Linked DNA regions of Arabidopsis thaliana. The protein of the gene in region 3 interacts with the protein of the main gene of each other region in a pairwise test. Each region holds a gene or a part of one and is shown on either strand. Other genes may lie near its edges. The genes, in order: NST1, AT3G46600, BPC1 and AT1G17310.

Region 1 (5,533 bases), about 19 Mb from region 3:
CAAAAATCCATAAACTCTACCAAAATAGAATGAAGATTCTGAAATCAAACCTACTTTTTCTTTTTAATTATAAATTCAACTATATTATAAATTTATTTATCACAAATAATAGAGGAGTGAGAATATTTTAGACAACGCAAATTTCTTTTATTTAGTTCTTATACTTTATTTTTTACCAAACGTTAATTAAAAAAATCACACATACATAATTTCTAAAAAAAATGTATTCTTCAAGTAATATATCTTTCTGAGTACTAGTTTATCTATTTATCTCCGTATTTAATAATCAAAAGTTACGTTTAAAATAGAAACAACTTTTATCAAACAAAATATATTAGAAAACGCATGGTACTGGCTACTGGAAAGAATCATGACCTGTAAATTTCTACAGTTTTCCCGTTTTATATAGTACTTAGAAACTTTGGATTTTCATAGCGCAACCAATAAACACATGGACTTAAGACACAAAAAAAGTTGGGTGCAATGTCATTAATCAAACTAAAAAAATAATGATTAAAAGCATGGAATTCCGAAAACGCAACAAAATGATTCTGTGTTTAGACAAATGCAGAAAGGCCTCTTAACTAATCTTAAATAAAGTCTTAGTTCCAACCACATAAACACTCCTTAGCTCCATTAATTTTGGTTTTCTTAATTACGTTTCTACACAAGTACACGTACTTACACATACAATTCCACAGTCTAAATGATAAAACTATGTGGTTTTTGACGTCATCGTTACCTTTCTGTCGTCTCACCTTTATATAGTGTCTCTAACAGAACGTAACAACCAAATGTTTAAAAAAATAAAAACAGCACCCCTTAATTAGGCTCATTCGTTTTGCACTAACCATACTACAAATCATCTCGAACGATCGAGCAAAGATTTGAAAAATAAATAAACGTATAACTCTAGAGATTTTCATTAGCTAAGAAAAGTGAAATCGATTGTTAATCCTATTTCAGACGGGACAGGAACACTCATTACCCAACTCTATCATCTCTCGAACACCAAACTATATCTACCGTTTGGGGCATTATTTCCCACTTTCTTTCGAAGACAATTTCCCATATATAACATATACACATTATTACTAATATATTTTTATAAATTTTCGTCACATCCCAAAAAAAAACACTCTTTGTCACATCAACTAGTTTTTTTGTAACGATCAAACCTTTTCGTTTAAAAAAAAAAAACTTTTGTAGTGTAAACGTTTATTTATCGATGAAAAAAGCCACATCTTCCGGAGGGAAACTTTTTAAGACACCCTATTTCGACTTTATTTTGTAAATACAGTGTGCATGTGCATATAAAGAGAGATATCATTTGTATAAATATCAAGAATTAGAAGAGAAAAAGAGAGAAGAAGACAATCTATTACTATTACGATGTGTGGGTTGTTAATTTGTTTAAAGGGAGCTTTTCTATAGAGATTTTTAAGGTCAAGGGTCATCGTTCGATGTGGGCTTGCTTCCTACAATCTAGTTGCCTTACGGGGCCTACTCTTTTTCTTTTGATAACTACATCACCTTTTTTTTCTCCGACAACTATATATCACTTTTTTTATGTTTTCCTTTTTTTCTTCACAATAATTCTTTACTCGTTGCAAATGTAAAGATACACAAAGTTACTTATTTTGTTTACGATGGTTCTTAGTAGTTTAAAGAATTAATGAATAAGATAAACCTAAACTTTGAAAAGACTAAAAAAAATGTATAACAACATACATTATACGTATTTGAAATAGTCCAAGTGATATTATGTCATTGATATTAGCACAAATAATTACGATGCCTGATATTGTCACATTTGATGATTTTAAGTTCTTGTAAAAGATAAGTGTAACTAAATCACTATAGTGAGGCCCACGTTTTAATTTCTAAACTAATTACAATGACAATAAAATAGCAAAACTATTTAAAACTAGACGCCAAAAAAAATTGAAACTAATAATTGTGAAAAAAGAACAAGAGAATAATAATCATTAATAATTGACAAGTGAAATTAATATATTGCTCTTGGAGGGTTATATTTTAATTTTCAAACTAAATAATGAATACAAATGGAAAAGCTAATGATAAGAGTTGAATTTTAATAATTAAGAAAAACAAAAAAAGGTGTACAAGGAGACACATGCGTTTTCCTCATGCATCTTGTTTTTATACAACAATATATATATATATATTGAGTCATTCTCTGCTAGCTCTCTCATCTCCAACTTTCAGTATGATATATAGTTACAATTAAATAAACCTCACATGCTCTATTCTTGCTTGATTTTTGAGTTAATCTTGAATCTCTTTGATGATGTCAAAATCTATGAGCATATCAGTGAACGGACAATCTCAAGTGCCTCCTGGGTTTAGGTTTCATCCGACCGAGGAAGAGCTGTTGCAGTATTATCTCCGGAAGAAAGTTAATAGCATCGAGATCGATCTTGATGTCATTCGCGACGTTGATCTCAACAAGCTCGAGCCTTGGGACATTCAAGGTTTATTTCCATAAAGAAATTTTTTATGAATTAATTTTCTCTCTTTCACACTCTCATAATCCAATTTTCCGAATTTATTAATTTTTCCATATATATGAAAGTGCTGTCTTGTCTATACTACTTTCGATTCATGACGTGATCTCATGTATCCTTTTACGAGAATATGACTAGAGTACAGAGAATCTACACTTAGTTGTTGATGTTGTTTGTTCATATTCGGAGTTAGTTACTGCAAAGACCAACATAGGTTTGGTTATTATACAATTTACTATTTAAGTTTTTTTCTTCTGATTATTTTTGTCGTTATGCAGAGATGTGTAAAATAGGAACAACGCCACAAAACGACTGGTATTTCTTTAGCCACAAGGACAAAAAATATCCGACGGGAACGAGAACTAACAGAGCCACTGCGGCTGGATTTTGGAAAGCAACTGGCCGCGACAAGATCATATATAGCAATGGCCGTAGAATTGGGATGAGAAAGACTCTTGTTTTCTACAAAGGCCGAGCTCCTCACGGCCAAAAATCTGATTGGATCATGCATGAATATAGACTCGATGACAACATTATTTCCCCCGAGGATGTCACCGTTCATGAGGTATGTATTAATTCCATCATAACCTAAATACGAGTTATTCAATCAAAGGATTTGGTCTCTTTTTTGAATATCTCATTTTACATCACAATCTCGATTTTGTTTTGATTAATTATTATTTCATTGACCATTATAAAAGTTGTTACTGATGATAAGATGTACAAGTAAAAAATATCATGTAATTAATATATATATAAAGGTAATTAATATATTTTAAAAAACAATATTTATGCAAAGTATGATCGTAATTTTCTTTAATAACATTATGAAAACTATCACATATTCGTTTTCGTTATTATTTTTTTCTTAAATTCCCAATATTTAATGATAATAGTTTTAGTTACTTCTTCCCACAAATATTTCTTTTCTCCTTTGTCATATACAGACGCACATGAAACTGAAATATGAATTTTCTTTTTCTTTTTGGTTTTAACCTAAATGGGATTAGTGCAAAACATGAACTTTGCTAATATATCTTAGTTGATTTTTGAATATTTAAGGTCGTGAGTATTATAGGGGAAGCATCACAAGACGAAGGATGGGTGGTGTGTCGTATTTTCAAGAAGAAGAATCTTCACAAAACCCTAAACAGTCCCGTCGGAGGAGCTTCCCTGAGCGGCGGCGGAGATACGCCGAAGACGACATCATCTCAGATCTTCAACGAGGATACTCTCGACCAATTTCTTGAACTTATGGGGAGATCTTGTAAAGAAGAGCTAAATCTTGACCCTTTCATGAAACTCCCAAACCTCGAAAGCCCTAACAGTCAGGCAATCAACAACTGCCACGTAAGCTCTCCCGACACTAATCATAATATCCACGTCAGCAACGTGGTCGACACTAGCTTTGTTACTAGCTGGGCGGCTTTAGACCGCCTCGTGGCCTCGCAGCTTAACGGACCCACATCATATTCAATTACAGCCGTCAATGAGAGCCACGTGGGCCATGATCATCTCGCTTTGCCTTCCGTCCGATCTCCGTACCCCAGCCTAAACCGGTCCGCTTCGTACCACGCCGGTTTAACACAGGAATATACACCGGAGATGGAGCTATGGAATACGACGACGTCGTCTCTATCGTCATCGCCTGGCCCATTTTGTCACGTGTCGAATGGTAGTGGATAACGGAAATGGAGGGAAAGAGAGAGAGGCACACACACATAAGACATTTCACATTTGTGTAAAAAGATATAATCATACCATATAGTTGTTGAAACATATAAAAGAAAGTCAGATTTGTGATAATTACAGTGGTTATGTGAAATATTGTAAAATAGATTAATATAAGAATTTAAAAGAGGAGAATAAAGATCTCAAAAAGGAGATATTTCGTTATTGTTGGGGAGAGCATTACATTTCATTATAATAATCAAAATGTCTTCCATTTAATTTTATAGTTTTCCTTCTAGAAGAAAAAAAAAACATATTACGAGAAGCTTCGCCGCCCCGCCTAGGGTTTCCAGTTCCGGTGGCTTTTTCAGCACCAAAACCGGAATTTCTTTGTTGTAATCTCTTTAGTTTCGTTTTCTTGTGGGTTTAATGTGATCTGAATCCTATTTTCTTCCAACGGTCTCTGTTCTAAATTCACAGATCTAGATCTGTGAAGTCTAAATCCTTTGCTCTTCCAGTTTTGCTGCTTGTTTGTCTCCTTCGTCTGCAGCTTCAGTTCTGGCCGTTCCAACCATGGCAGAGGCAGGTTCATTTCGATCTTTCATCGCCTCAGATGCAGATCTCTCTCCATTGAAGATCTAGTTCTCCTTCCTTTCTTCTTGAGACCTTGTCCTTTGGGTTTCGGGGTGTTGTTTGATGTCTCACCGCCGTTTGTGGTAAGGAGAGTCTTGATTTTATTTTCTTTGGTTAGATCTCTAGTCTCAGATCTGTTTTTTAAAATAACTTTGGATTTAGACTTTGTTTTTCAGTTTTGAGTTTTTTAGTAATGGATCTGGGAAGTTTAGGTTTAGTATCATTGTTGTTATTTAATTTGGGTTTTTCCCCTTTAGATCTATCTTAGTTCCCGGGAGATGTATTGTGCTCGCCGGCTTAGTCTTTGGAAGGAGTGTTTTCCCTTGCCAACTTATATAATTCAACTCTTGTAAGGTTCTAATCCATCAATAAAATTTTAATTTTCTGTGAAAAAAAATAAAAAAAATTATAAGCCCATAATCTTGAAAATAATTTAGAAAATATAATTAAAAATTACAAGAACTACATAATATTTTACGACCAAAAGGCGATAGACAATTTTGATACAAGACATTGTGTCTTTTCTAGCCATATATTATAATACACTAATTATCTTCATAGATACATATTAAAATATGTGTTTTAGTAGGCACAGAAATTGATGGACTATGTTATCTTAATTAAGTACTATTAGTCGTCAATTGTATGTTTGAGATTAATAGATTATGATTGAGTATCATTAATAGCAGTCGACATAATAG
Region 2 (5,498 bases), on a different chromosome or scaffold from region 3:
CTTGTAGCATGTTCAAAAGCCTCTGAGACCACAGCTGCGATCCAAATCTTTAAAGCAATGGTTGACAATGGTGAAAAGCCAACGGTCATCTCATACGGTGCACTACTCAGTGCTCTTGAGAAAGGGAAGCTATATGATGAGGCGTTTCGGGTTTGGAACCATATGATTAAGGTAGGGATTGAGCCAAATCTTTACGCGTACACAACAATGGCTTCAGTTTTGACAGGACAGCAAAAGTTCAATCTTTTGGATACCCTTCTCAAGGAAATGGCTTCAAAGGGTATTGAACCGAGCGTTGTGACTTTCAACGCGGTTATAAGTGGTTGCGCGAGGAACGGGTTAAGTGGTGTGGCTTATGAGTGGTTTCATAGAATGAAAAGTGAGAATGTTGAGCCTAACGAGATAACTTACGAGATGTTGATTGAGGCTCTTGCAAATGATGCAAAGCCAAGGCTTGCTTATGAGTTACATGTGAAGGCTCAAAACGAAGGGCTTAAACTCTCTTCTAAGCCATATGATGCGGTTGTTAAATCAGCTGAGACTTATGGAGCCACCATTGATCTTAATCTTTTGGGTCCTCGACCAGACAAAAAGAATAGACCTTAGTCTGACGAAAACACATTGTACAAGGTTACCGTGGGGTAAGGCGCATCCAAGGACCCTTAAAGGCAAGAAAATTGCCATTACAGGGAAGAAGAAAGTTTCCAAGTAATCACTTTCTTGTTCTTTAATACTCTTTTTAGTTTGTCTAGTCTCTCTGTTTATATTGTGAATTTTTATCTTCGTACAACATCTGTATTATCATCAGACACATTGATATGCAAACTGGTTTGTTCAGTTCAAAGTTATGGATCTTTTTGAAATAAGTTTTGAATTCTTGGTTTGCCATATGTACTTGCAAGAAAGTAGAGAGAAAGAGAGAGACTCATTCAATATATATGAGAGCAAACAGTTTCTACAACACTTTGAAACCAAAAACAAAGAAATGGAAAGCTAGCAAAATTATGCAAATGATTACAGAACTGTTTTATTACTTCTTAGCAGGTTTCCAGCAAGAAACAGCATAAAGGACTCTTCCTTTCCAGCCCTGAAACATCCAGTGGTTATCATTGTCGATCACAAAATCTTTGTGGTAACGTTCTTTCACTATCTCTTTCCCGTCCTTTACTATCTGTTTGCTTAGTTTCGCTGGTCTAAATCCTGCTCTTAGAATCCTAACCTGCCATTGCTTGTAGGTCTCTGGCCTTGCAAACCGCTCAGACCCTTCACAGGCTATCACACTCATTGCATCTCTTATGATTAGTTCCCTCTCCACCAGTGTCCTGCAATTGTCGTCTTCTGATAATGTGGTCTCATACATGTCAAAGAGTGACGAGCAATGGAAGAGAGCTTCTCTGAACCTTGTTAGGAAGAAGGGTGAATTGTAAGTCCCGTTAATCTCTGCAAACACAAAGAGGTCAGGGTTGATGTCTCTGAATAGTTTCAGAGCCGTGTCTCTCGGTGAGTTGAGGGACACGGTTTCATCAGGTGTATATTGTAGCCGGAGGATGCAGTTGACAACTGTTGTCTCGCCACTATTGATCACCAGATCATCAAGAGTTATGTTCTCCCAATTCTTGGCTATGAAACTGTACTCAAACGGGACATTGAACTTGTCACAGAACCTCTTTAGTCTTCGCCCGGTCTCTTCTACCCGCTCTGATGGACGGAAACCTGACTGAGGAAGCTCGATACCAGTCACACGGAGCAGTGGTGGTCCGATGTCACGTTTTGACAAAGCTTGTATCAGACAAGGCCATTGAAATCCATAGAGAATCCCAAAATCAATGATGTGAAGTGTGGTTGCTTTGGAAGCAAGCTCATTGATTGTTCTGTTTGCAGTGAAATAACACATTATTAAGGTGGGGCAAGCCTGAACAAATCCCTTGTACGCCTTCAAAATGTCCACCATTGATGTTCTGCTAGAAGTAGCAGATATTGGTGTAGTCATGGTTCCTGTAATACGAGCTTCAAGCGCCTCAGCAAAGTGATAACCAAGTCTTTGAGTCGCATCACCGTGGCGAGAAGAGTGTTCTCTTATCTCCTTCAGTTTCTCAAAAGCTCTTCTCTGGTCAAAACTCGCCACAGCTTGCGCGCATTGCATCAAAAGATTCCTCATATCTACTGGCTGATCTGACTTTTGCTGCTTGTATCGATTCGATGAGCCTTTTACGTGTCTTGTTTTCTTCTCTGTTGCTTCTCCCTGATCATTCTTTTGACATACCAACAACACTTCCTCAAACTTCTCTGCTAACTCATCCACCGTAGAAATCGCAGGGAGCTTCGATTTCCTTCCACTCTCAAGATCATCATCTTCATCATCATCCCTATGTCGATACCTTCTGGTTGACTCCTCTGAAACTTCAGGTTGATGCAAACTCGTTATAGAACTGAAGTTTCCAAGAGAACCATCCTCTAGATCACCCGAGATTGGAGTTTGATCTTGAAGCACTTCGAAGAAAGATCTCTCTGCGGCTTGTAAAGCCAAACTGTCTTCCAACATACAAGACTGACCTTCAAGATCTTCTTCCATCAACATGTCATTGATGTACTTAAAGACAGGAAGGTAATCTGAACATACCTTAGACTCGGTCGGAGAAGGGTTGCTCTGAGATTCAGATTCGTTGAAACAAGTGAAACGATTGGTCGTCCCAGATTCAAGATTGTTCCTCGGTTTGCAACAAGATCCAGAACCGGTGTCGAATCTGAACCCATCAACGGGTACTGGCAAAATAGCATCCATGAAACAGAATCTCTCTAGAATGAAGATTGAAACAAGAGTACTTTAGTAAGTCAACGAAAAGAGGAAATGAAAGAGAGTAGTGAGAAGTTTCATGTGAACACAAGTTGCGAGATGTTGTTGATATAAACAAAGGATAGGGTTGATATTTGTCTTATTTAATCTTTGTCTTGGCAAAGAAGAAAAATGAAGTTTCGAGGAAACAGAGAATGTGTGGGGTTGAAGATAAACACTAAGCCGCCACAAAAGGTTAGTAATAATATGTCCAAGACTTTATCTACTGTCGTGGGTCCAAATGGCTAAAAAGCTATTTGTTTTCTTGTTGTTGTCTTCCTTTTGGTCACTTGTCTGGTCAAATATTTGACTTATTAGTTATTACCTTGAATATATTTTCTAAATGTATTTAGAAATTTAGACTTTTTCTTTTTGTATAACGAAATATAAAACTTCGAAGTAAATTAAGTTTGTTTTGGTTCAGTTTTTTTTTCTACAAGACACAAGCAAATTTCAGTTTTTAAATAATAATATAGTAAATTTTATAATTTACTACAATATATTTGTTTGATAATTTATTTTGCATATAATACGCGTAAACTATTTAGTAGTCTGTTACCACATCACCAAAATTCCAAAAAAAAAACAAGATGTAAATCTTAATTGTATAACCTGTCCCTTGATTTTTTTTTTTTTTTTAAGTAGTGATTTTTAAAATTTAATGATTATTTATTATATATAAAAGTTTGAAAATTATACAATTCTCTAAGACATTAATATTTTATAATTTACAATTTTTATATAGTAACATTATACCATGAGACATTTTGGTTTTATATATATTTTTTTAAATCAGACTGATTTGATATGTATAATATTAGTGGTGTTAAAAAAAAGATTTAATATGTATTGAAACGGCAGATTAATGATATTTTAATTTGTTATTAATGTAGATTCAAAAATCCGTTCCGCAAAACCCATTCCAACAAAAACCCAGTTATTTTATTATTGTAAATATTCATTATATGATATGATTCTGAATCATTGTCTAAATATTTTAGTCAATGTGGAACATTAAACATACACATTATTTTGTCAATTGGGTAATACGTGTCCGTGTTTAAAATTAAAAATCACAATATATGTATAAAAAAAAATTGTTTTTTGATTTTATTTTATGTATTATATGACGATTTAAAACAAAATCAAATAAAAAGCATAATTTTAAATATTAATTAAATCTTCTAAATATATATAATATGGTGTATATTAGTTAAGAATCATAATTTTCTTGCTGCGTCAAGTTGCTAAATATATTAGTTTTAAATCGGTAAATATATCAGTCATCATAACTTCTAATAAATTGAACGTTATCCTCTATTATCTCGTCCAGGTCCAAATGTAAACTTCAATATCCTTTTGATTTTATTGCTAATTGCTTTAAATTTTTTCACAAACTCCAATATTCAATGAAAGGCAACAGTTCAGTGAAAAAAAAAAAAAAAAAAGTGGGAAGAGCTTGCCTACTCAATGCTATCTGCAAATATTTGCGAACTTTAGTTCAACATCGACTTCTTTACTGGTTAGAGATCCAGGATTTTGTGCCTTTGTTTGTGGCTATAGCCTTTAAAAGAGGCTTTGAGACCAGCTTATTACTCTGAACGACCCGTATTTAAGGTAAATACCATAGCACACATACCACTCACAAGCACAAGCTTCTGTGTATTCTTTCCTAATATAGGACACATGTGAACCATAAACTGACCAAACATAGACCAGCTTGAGTAACAATTTATCCAACAATTGAATTCTCCAGCACTCCTAGAGTTTGGATGAGGTATATATATATCAGTTCGTTGTCGTTGTGATATGATAGGCCGAGCCATAAATCATATAGACAGAATAAAAATGTCACCAAAGATTTACAACAAATCCTTTACATTGTTAGAAAAAACCCAACCTTATTTCCAATTATAAAACTTTACATTTGAAAGAAAGAAAAAAAAAAACAAAGAAGAACTGAGACCAGATCTTCAACTATGTCAGAATCTTACAATATGGATCATCATAATAATACACAAAGGTTCTTTAGACCAAGAACCTGTTCAGATTAGAGAGCCTCTACCTGAGTGGATGGTGGCTCAGTCTGCAGTTGATGCATTAGGTGTTGTGACCAGTAAGCGTGTGCCTTCAAAACACGGTCCAGAAGTTCCTGTGGCACCGGCTCTCCTCTCCGCTGTTGTGGAGATATCCTTGCCGTGTGGACCAGCGTCTTCCACTTATCCTACAAAGGCAAAGACTCAATACCAAACTGTATATATTAAGGTTAAGAGTTAGTTAAAAAACTAACTAACCTTGAGATCAACATAGGTACGATGGTCTGCGTCCTCGAAAGCACGAACCTTCACATCTCTCCACCTGTAGTTTTCAAACACATTTTGTCAGCAACATGAAGAAGAGAAAGTGCTATTTCTTTGTTTTGTACCTTCCGGTTCCGAGTTTCTCAACGGCTTGGACCAGTGCTTCTACTTCAGTAACTGAGAAAGGTCGACGAATTCTGCGTTGTGCAGCTAGCTGCTGCTCAGTCCTTTTAAACTTACGGTTAGGAGGCCGAGGAGCCAGCATTGCTGCTGAGGCAACAGGAATCAAAGCTCTAGAATGATCACTTGTGCCTAGTTTCCCAAATGAGTCAGCTGGGGATGGTTCTGGCTCATGACTAGAATCC
Region 3 (5,103 bases):
CTTTTAGGCTATTGCCTTTCTTCTCAGTCATTCCTTAAGAAGGTTCATTAACAGATCTAAGAATGTTACTGGATCAAGAATGAAATGAATCTTATATGAAAACATTTTTTTTTTTTTGATGGAACTCATATGTAGACTACCAAAATTAATCATTATTATGGTTTAAATTTTCTCAATCATAAGTTTTGTTACTTTAACACATTTTCTCTGTTTCAATTATGGTTTAAATTTTCTCAATCATAAGTTTTGTTACTTTAACACATTTTCTCTGTTTCAATTGTAAATGCCATATGTATTCCTTCCTTAGCTTGATCGCTATTCGCTACTAGTTGTTTTTATTTTTGTTATTGCCGAATAATAAATTAATTTGCAGATAAAAGAAACAAAAGATACCTCATAATGTTTTTTGTCAGTTGTCAAAAATTGGTTCTAAATGGACCGAAAGGAAAAACAGAACAAATTAGACGAGAAGATGTGATCGAGTTACTACGGTGACAGCTTTGTATAAAGGAAAGAAATGAGATCGTGTTTGTAATCATTTCCTAAGATGAGATTACTCTCCCATCTCTTACTTAACCCTTTGCTTATCGATTATTACCACTGATTAGATCTTTTCTAGCTGATACATAATGCATGATATTTATTTCGGAGCTACAAAATTATAAATTTGTAGTTTCTAATCGTTATATATGGACTTGAGAGACCACAACATCTTAAATGAATGCAAAAATTCAAAAAGAAACAAAAACATGTTAAATGAAATACAATAGTCTGATTTTTAATAGTCAAAAATAAATCGACAATGGCCTAGTGGTTGATCCAAGGTTAAAAGTTATACATAAAAGTTGAAATCTAAGTTTAATGTATAAAAATATTGAGCTCTTTAGACCTAGTTTTTGGACATTCAGGTATATTTACCTAGGATATATCTCACAAATATTAACTATATAATCAAGATAAATTCGAATAACAATGGTAAACTATTAGAAGTTAATTCAAGAGAATGAATAAAATAATATAAGTAGGAGATTTGAGTTGGAAAGAAGGATCAAGTCACATGCTCCAAATTTACAAAGCAAAGAAATGCCATCATCTCCCCCAACTCCTCCCTTTGATTCTCTCTTTATCTTTTCTTTTTATCTTCAATTATTAATGTTTTTAATAATAAAAAACCATATATATAAACATAAAATTAGTTATTTATCTGAAAAGAACATTCTCAATACATCATTACTCATTTTATTCGGATATTTTGGTCTCATGCCTTCATTCTCAAGTTTCGCATACATCCATAAACTCTATAAAATGTTGCCAAGAAAATAAACACAATGTGTATAATTGTACTCAATCTTTCAAATCGAATTAAGATAAAATACAACTTCAGTCAACAAAATTTTTTTAGTCAAAATGTACGTGTGTAATTATAATGTTGGCTACTCAATTTAAAATCAAATTAAGTTGGTGAAACAAAAAAAAAGTGGTTATGGGCCGAAATGATTACCGGCCTTGAATATGAGTCCACTGGACGTAATTTTGATATTAAGTATTTGGGTCTCTTATCTCTTAAATGAGTCGCATATGGGCCAGTTGTTGAGCATTATCCATGGAAATCAAAAAGTTGCATGGAAACAGAGACTTTAACAAAAAAAAGCTTCTTCCGGAGATTCATACACATAAATCTCTATCTTCATATCTAGTGTGAATCCAGCTATTGGAAATCTTTGGATGTTTGATCAAGTGTTGAATTTCTCTGTTTGGATGTTGTACATCTTCTTAATTAGTTACATGCTTAATCTTCTTCTTGTTTTTTTTTTTTTGAATACCAGAACATTCTGAACCAAAGCCGTAATTTCCGAAGACCCAAAAGTACAACATGTAACGCGACCTCTAAGCTTTGCCTAGAATATTTACCAATTAAAATAATAATATTTGGTTAATCTTCGTCTTGTTAGCTCATACGTCAGACAATGAAAACAAAAGGTAATTGATGTTTTCATTACTTGAGGATTAGATATTGGTCAAGCTTAGTTGTGGCTATGGGTTAAAGACTAAGATCTCATTAGTAAAAGTGGTATTGAGCTTGCCTTCTCAATGCTATGACAAATACTGTATATTTTATCAATAGTACAATGTAAAGGATAAGGAGAAGAAGTGGGCTTTGATTTTGTTTTTGTCTTCTTCTTCTTCTTCCCCCAAATCTCTTTACCCTACAAATAACCAAAAATAATCTCTTCACCAAAAATATTATATTAAAGTGTCATTTTTAGGATTTTCTAAGAAGAAAAAAAAAACAGGGAAGATCTTTTTAAGCTTCTCTTTCCTCTCTCTTCTATCTTTCTTTCTCTTTCTCAATCTCTCTCAGGTTTCTCTCTCCTCTCTCCAGGAGGTCAAAAAATTCTTTAAAGAGCCGTTTAGACCAAACCCATGTAAGAGATTTCTCTCTCATCAATCTATGTCTCTTTCTCTCTCTTTCGAAAATTATCATTTGCGTCCTCTTTTTGTACTGTTTACTTTGTCTTTCCCATTTCTAGCGATCTTCTCATCGAAGCTTATGACTAATAAAACTCGAGATCTGAAACATTTCTCTCTCAAAAAAAAAATCGAAACTTTATGCTCTGTTTCTTCAGATCTGGTTCTGGGTTTCTCAGATCTAGAGCTCTGCAATATGGGTCTCAAACAAAAATTGAATTCTGATTACAAAAACCCTAATTTTCGTTTCTGGGTACCTCAAAGATCTGTGCTTTCGTTAGAAAATGGATAGATTTTATGTTAATTTCATGGAAATTTCGATGAATTCGAGGTTTAGAATCAGATTCAACCACAAAGTTATAAACTTTTACAATTGTGTTCTGTTATTGTTTTGGATCAAATTGTGTTTAGATTTGACTTTGAATGGCATTGTTTGTAGTTTTATAATCATCAATGGACGATGATGGATTTCGCAATTGGGGATACTATGAACCAGCGGCTGCTTCTTCGTTTAAAGGTAATCTCGGTTTGCAGCTTATGTCTACTATTGACCGGAACACTAAACCGTTTTTACCCGGTCGTGAATCGAATCTTATGATCGGTTCTAACGGTTCGTATCACTCTCGAGAGCAAGACATGAACTATAGCTGGATTAATCAACCAAAGGACAACAAGTTCTTCAACATGTTGCCTATAAGTACACCGAGTTATAGTAATGTGTTGTCGGAAACATCTGGTTCGAATTCGATTCAGATGATACATCAACCGGTTTTGAATTCATCCCGGTTTGAGGAGAATCCGATTCCTCCTCCTGCTCCTTGTGAAGAGCAGACTGGTAAGAAGAGAAAGATGAGAGGCAGCATCGCAACACCAACGGTACCGAAAGCTAAGAAGATGCGTAAACCGAAAGAAGAGAGAGATGTTACTAACAACAATGTTCAGCAGCAGCAGCAGCGTGTGAAACCGGTTAAGAAGAGTGTTGATCTTGTGATTAACGGTGTGAGTATGGACATTTCTGGTTTACCTGTACCGGTTTGTACTTGTACTGGAACTCCTCAACAATGTTACCGTTGGGGTTGCGGCGGATGGCAATCCGCTTGTTGTACGACTAACATTTCGGTGTATCCATTACCGATGAGTACTAAGCGACGCGGTGCAAGGATTTCGGGTAGGAAGATGAGTCAAGGCGCGTTTAAGAAGGTTCTTGAGAAGTTATCAACAGAAGGTTATAGCTTTGGGAATGCGATTGATTTGAAGTCTCATTGGGCTAGACATGGAACCAATAAGTTTGTCACGATCAGATAAAGTTTGAAAAGCTCTTGTTTTTCTTCATTGATCGTGTATATAACAACAAAACTGTGACCTTTGTTTTTCCTTCTTCTTCAAGGTAACTTCTTCGTTTTTAGGGCTTGATCATATCTTAATTCATATTCTGTTTTGTTTGTTTGAAACTATTTCATTCAGCTTTAGGTTTGAAATGTTGACTTGTAACATTAGATGTTGTTTTGATAAAAAATGTTGTTATGTTAAACAATTTTAATGAAGAAGAAAATCTTTTTATAAGATGTTTCAAGGTTGTTTATTTGCATTTTTACCTTATCTTATACACATTAACATACACAGATGTACAAACAACGTTAGACTATAACATGATTAGCTACTAATTACGTGATTAGAAGGTAAGAAAATCTGATGGAGTATTAGAGCGCTCCTCGCTGGTCACCAAATCCACCATATCCGCCGCGGTTACCGGCGTTACTTTTGCGGCTTTCCAATCTAACTCGGGGGCGATATGGAGAAGCTTGTCGAGAACTATCATTTGAGATTCCGTGATTCGCAAGATATTAGAGGTTTCTTGAGCGTTGGTGACACCAAAACCTCTACAGAATTCGAAATACTTGAAGAGTTTTTCTCTCTGCGACAAAGATTTCGCCACGATATTCATCGCCAAATCCGCCTCCGCGGACGATATCTCGAGCATATTCGACTGTACATCGGATAAGAAACCCGCGAATCCGCGGCATATATGACCGTTAATCAAAACAACCTCGCTGATTACATATTCCATAGCTTCGATTACAAGAGGTGTTTCACCAATTGGTTTGATTCTCATCAATGAATCAACTATTCGTTGCATCTTAACGATAATCTCTAATCGAATCATGTTCTTGTTATAATAGAGAATCGATCTTTCGTCAAGAAACATGAAATAAGCGCGAACGAAGATGTTAAACCGACCGGTTCTACTAAACCGAGATTTCCTTCTCCCGAAACCCGAAAGATCGAACGGTAACCGTCCGATCGAATCGACGGTCATGATTCCGGAGAAGAACAAGCCGTGCAATAACATCAAACATTTCAAAGCCACCGTCCAGTTACGCGTGTGTTCCACGCGTAACGAGACGGCGCGTATAATTGGTTTGAAACTGGAAGGGTTGCTCTGTATGTATCTATAGATGAATTGAACGTTTTCGATGTCCATTGAGACATCGTTATGACTCGTCGCTTTGATAACCGCCGCCGTGAATTTTTCATCCGTCGCGGTGATGAGACTGAGTTTGTCCTTTATAGCTCCGGAGACGCGTCTCCACAACTTCATTTTTCGTCTCATGACGATGTTTTAGTTGTTGATGT
Region 4 (4,480 bases), on a different chromosome or scaffold from region 3:
TTGACCCATCCCACTCTTCATAGAACTCCTTAAGATACTCTTCCATGAACTTGTGCCTTTTCTCTGCCCTCCTTTTACCCGCCTGATATGTTTTCAATCCACATTAAATCTCAAATCGAAACAAATTTTTCGCGTCAAAATAGAGTTGCGGTTAAACTTACCTCAGTTTTCATCAGCTTCTTTAGCTTGAGGAGTTTCTCATGAAAGTGATTAATAGTAGTTTGCTCCTCTCTCTTAATGTACTGCTCTTTGGTTAGCTCTGTCCGGGGCTTGATCTCAGGATCATGAAGCACTCTGTTCCTGCTTCCACCAAATGTAAAGCAACGAGCAATTCCTATAACAGAAAGAGATCAACAACAACTAATAGCACAAATTCCATAACATAGAGAATTTTCACATGACATCAAAGCAGATATTTGGCAATGACATATCAAAAGCAACTAAAGAAAAGAGACGTATTCTTACCTATGGCGCCAATTGCATCAAGGCGATCAGCATCTTGAACTACCCCAAATTCTGGAAGAGACTCACAGAGTGCTACTCCTGCTAATTCGTCTTTAAAACCTGGAAAGAATACACTTGTTCTGTTCACAAATTTATATACAACAGAATGACTTAATTGTAGTGATAAATCATGTACATTATAGTTGATTGGATATGTTGAGTAAAAAGTAGGAGCTGGAAACTGACCCATTCCATTGATGATCGTTAGTATCTTCGTCTTCTTGGTCTCTTCTATACCCTCATCATCTAGGAAATTCTCAACAAGTTTCTCTTCCGAAGGGTCTCTGAATTCCGGTTATAATTATTTTTGCCATGAAGCAACATATCAGCGGAAGGAAAGCAATCTTCAGCATTCATAGTTAAGTAGTTTTTATGTTTATATCCACACCAAGTTCCACTTAGTAGAGCCTAGCAATCCTAAGGTAAGCAAATCTGACAAGGAATTCTCACAAGCTTTACCTAATGGCATTCGCAAACAAAACACTTCCAAGTTTCTTTATTCATCCAGTTTAGATAAAACAAAGTTAAAAGCAGGGAACTTAGAGAGTTTCATGAGAAAAGTAAACACTTTTGTTTCCTGGAAGTGTGATCAAGAATGTTGGAAGGGACATTACTAGTCTATACTCAAGCGGTTCAAAAGAAAAGAAAACTTAGAGAAACAAACCTTATGTACTTGTAATCACCTGATAAGAGAGAGGGCAAGAGATACGAATTATGATCAACCTGTGGACTAGAACCACATTACTAAAACAGAAATGAAAATAAAACCAAGTACCTATATCATGGAGAAGAGCTGCAAGCTCCACCTGCAAAGTATCAACAGAAATGGTTCACTCTAAAGTAAAAGAGCTGAAATTTGACAATAAACAGCTATAGCTAACTAGAAGAACTAACTAGAAGAAGGTTCATCAGGCTCAGCTGAACTAGAACTTTGAGATTTAGGGATTTTTCAAACTCACAATTTCCATGGAGTCAGAATTGGAAGAGAGACCTTCCTCGCGAGCAATGGAGAGAGCAAGGTCTCGGACCCTCCACACGTGCCAGGCGTCATGAGAAGCATCGTTTCCTTTCATCGCCTTCTCCACCAGCTCCTCCGCCTTCCTCATCGTCTTCGCCGCCATCTATCTCTCTCTCTCTCTCAACTGCTCAGTTTCGAAGATTGGAGAGATTTTGATTTTGCAATTTCAGCGTCGGAAGCTCTGTTTTAAAATTGATTCAAGTTTGCCGTCTCGGCTCGACGTTGACCACCGGAGTCAAAGAGAAATTCGGGGAAGGAATTTACTCATTTTACCTTTTTACCCTTACGTATGAAAGAATTTATTTATTTATGTTTTTTTAAAAAATATTTAAATTTACAGAGATATTTTCACATATTATTGTAGATTAAACTACACAAACTTTGCCACTTTCTGTTAATTATTTTAAAAATCTCTGTACTGATTGTTATAGAAAACCTATTCTTTACATTAATCGCTGGCTATATAGTACTGATTTGTCAAGTTGAAAGGTCGATTTATATAAACTTATGACTTTTGGATACATTTTTCAAAACAAATTTGATCCATTGAAATGGAGATTGTCTTTGGTGTTTTCCCTAGTAAGATTTCAAGGTTTATCTTTGTCCCCGAACCTTTTCAATTGCATTGGTTATGAAGTGGTTTATCTGCTTTGGTGTTTATAAATATTCGGGATTTTAGTTGTTTCTAGAGAGGTAGTTCAATAATTGATTATTTTCCAAGTTTCTGTTCTTAAACTCTTTTTTTTTTTTTTTTTTTTTTTGTTCTATGGAATAGATTGTAATCAAGTAACAAGGATGTCATCAAATCACTTCTTGGCCACGAATGAGATACTTAATTAATTTGAATATGTGATCAATTTGTCACTTAGACATTTTACCGTGATATTTGGAATTCTTAAATATCATATGTGTAATTTGAATATGTGATCACTTCTTGGCAAGAAGACGTCATATACTCATATGTTTTTCTTCTGCTTGGCATGACATAATTGTTCTACATGCTACGTTTGTATATGTGTACGTGATAGTAAAAAGAGATTCGTGTATATTTAGGTAGACTATGCATATATTATATAAATATAATGTGTATCACAAATTCACAATCGATTATTCAATAAACGACTAAAATGGAAAGTAGTATCTCGGATTTTATATTATTTCTATAACTTTTGTATAAGACAACACATGTCTTACATTTTTACGAGAAGCTATCTTTGATTCATTGAATCATTCCGAAAAATATTAATTAATTGGAGGTGCATTTAATACAACATTCCATAAACGTACGAAGAAAAGTAAGACAAATTAATTCCTTTATTATTACATAATCATGAACGACTATAAATCCCTCGACCAAGGAAAAACCTAATGATATTTTCATCTCTCCCCTCTCGGTTAGTCATGAAAGATTTGTTCATGGAAGGAGAAAGAGAAACTTCATCGATGACTTGCTTGACGCCCAAGGATTCTGTTCAAAGCCCTAACATGTTGGTTAGACAACCAAAAAAGGAGACAACAACACAAACCCCTAAAACGACACGAGGAAGACAGAAGATAGAGATCAAGAAAATCGAGGAAGAGACCAAGAGACAAGTAACGTTCTCGAAACGCCGTCGTGGGCTGTTCAAGAAATCCGCTGAATTGAGCGTTCTCACGGGCGCAAAAATCGCCGTCATAACGTTCTCTAAATGCGATAGGATCTACAGATTTGGCCATGTAGACGCATTGATAGACAAGTATCTTCGTAAGAGTCCGGTGAAGTTGGAGGGATATTCCGGTGATAACGCGGCGGATGAGGAAAGTAGGAGACCGTGGTGGGAGCGTCCGGTGGAGAGTGTGCCAGAAGAGGAGCTTGAGGAGTACATGGCAGCATTGAGTATGTTGAGAGAAAATATAGGGAAAAAGATTGTGGCGATGGGTAACGATCGGACGGTTGATATGGTTCCGGCATGGCCAATCAATGTGATGGGATGGAAACCAACGATGGATATGCAAAAATTGGAAAATCTGACGGATGGGGTTAATCGATGCCGTGTAGGTCAAAACGGTGATTGATTAGTCCAGTCGTGAAGTATTCCTCTAATGAATTTCTAAAATATTTTATTTAGTTTTGTTAAGTTTAATTATATGATTTTATGCTATTGATCATCAGATTGTTTCATCTCTTGTATACTTCATACTTTGGAAATTCAGTTGTTTGGATTTTTAATCTTTGAACCATACATATTACATAATGTAGAACAGTATTCTATCAGTTAAACCAGCTTTCAATTTTTTTTAAGATTTGACCTGCACATGTACCATATTTATATACCACATGAAGTATTTTTGGCAGATTGAAACTGCATTTTCTCTTGGTCGTTTTCTTATTTTATGTAAGGCGTACAAGAAAAAGCAAATAACGAAGGAAACAAGTGATTCTTACAATTAAGAACAAACGGGAAAGGTTGGAATGCTGGTTCCTTAAAACAAGGAAACCAAGTCACTCTTATTTATTTGCACGACACAAATTGACACAGAATAATAACATAGACTAAGTCTTAGCTTAATCCCTAAACATGCAATTAGGTTTTCTCTTTCACGTGTTTGACCAGCCGACTCTCTCAGGCCTCAACACATCCAGTCTCATCATTGACCAATGTTGATAATTTCTCCACGGACAGCATACTCATATTTGAGAACCTGTGTGATCATTTATATCCCCACAAATAAAAATCAGAAGCAGTCAAGAAACGTTTTAAGACATCAGTCTCTAGAGTGGAGTCAAGAAAAACCGACCTTGGTATTGATGGAGTCAAGAGTTACGGGAAGAGAGGAAGAGGAATCAGAAGCAGAGATATCGGAAGAAGAAGCAGACAAGTGACGCGATGAAGAAGCAGGAGTAGGAGTAGGGACTCTTCGGAAGCTATCTTTTTCTCCTCTAACTGATGCTTTCTCCTGATCCTTGTCAATCTGTAT

Evidence for each region.
Region 1: the proteins of BPC1 (region 3) and NST1 interact in a two-hybrid assay, tested with the Arabidopsis thaliana proteins (one large-scale study listed by BioGRID).
Region 2: the proteins of BPC1 (region 3) and AT3G46600 interact in a two-hybrid assay, tested with the Arabidopsis thaliana proteins (one large-scale study listed by BioGRID).
Region 4: the proteins of BPC1 (region 3) and AT1G17310 interact in a two-hybrid assay, tested with the Arabidopsis thaliana proteins (one large-scale study listed by BioGRID).

Annotation. Positions count from the first base shown.
Region 1 is NC_003071.7:19,219,598-19,225,130, reverse strand, and holds NST1 (NAC (No Apical Meristem) domain transcriptional regulator superfamily protein), read left to right. Parts: upstream 1-2,214; 5' UTR 2,215-2,308; coding exon 2,309-2,495; intron 2,496-2,806; coding exon 2,807-3,093; intron 3,094-3,590; coding exon 3,591-4,214; 3' UTR 4,215-4,406; downstream 4,407-5,533. Other genes in the region: AT2G46765 (uncharacterized protein), read right to left, coding at 4,567-4,791. UniProt on the Arabidopsis thaliana protein: Transcription activator of genes involved in biosynthesis of secondary walls.
Region 2 is NC_003074.8:17,155,332-17,160,829, reverse strand, and holds AT3G46600 (GRAS family transcription factor), read right to left. Parts: upstream 2,907-5,498; 5' UTR 2,783-2,906; coding exon 1,031-2,782; 3' UTR 865-1,030; downstream 1-864. Other genes in the region: AT3G46610 (Pentatricopeptide repeat (PPR-like) superfamily protein), read left to right, coding at 1-606; TRFL1 (TRF-like 1), read right to left, coding at 4,884-5,057, 5,128-5,191, 5,259-5,498. UniProt on the Arabidopsis thaliana protein: Probable transcription factor involved in plant development.
Region 3 is NC_003071.7:426,029-431,131, reverse strand, and holds BPC1 (basic pentacysteine1), read left to right. Parts: upstream 1-2,231; 5' UTR 2,232-2,922; coding exon 2,923-3,774; 3' UTR 3,775-4,018; downstream 4,019-5,103. Other genes in the region: AT2G01920 (ENTH/VHS/GAT family protein), read right to left, coding at 4,142-5,080. UniProt on the Arabidopsis thaliana protein: Transcriptional regulator that specifically binds to GA-rich elements (GAGA-repeats) present in regulatory sequences of genes involved in developmental processes.
Region 4 is NC_003070.9:5,927,111-5,931,590, reverse strand, and holds AT1G17310 (MADS-box transcription factor family protein), read left to right. Parts: upstream 1-2,757; 5' UTR 2,758-2,890; coding exon 2,891-3,577; 3' UTR 3,578-3,666; downstream 3,667-4,480. Other genes in the region: AT1G17330 (Metal-dependent phosphohydrolase), read right to left, coding at 1-82, 162-334, 466-564, 691-788, 1,169-1,187, 1,280-1,310, 1,464-1,625; AT1G17300 (uncharacterized protein), read right to left, coding at 4,151-4,204, 4,301-4,480.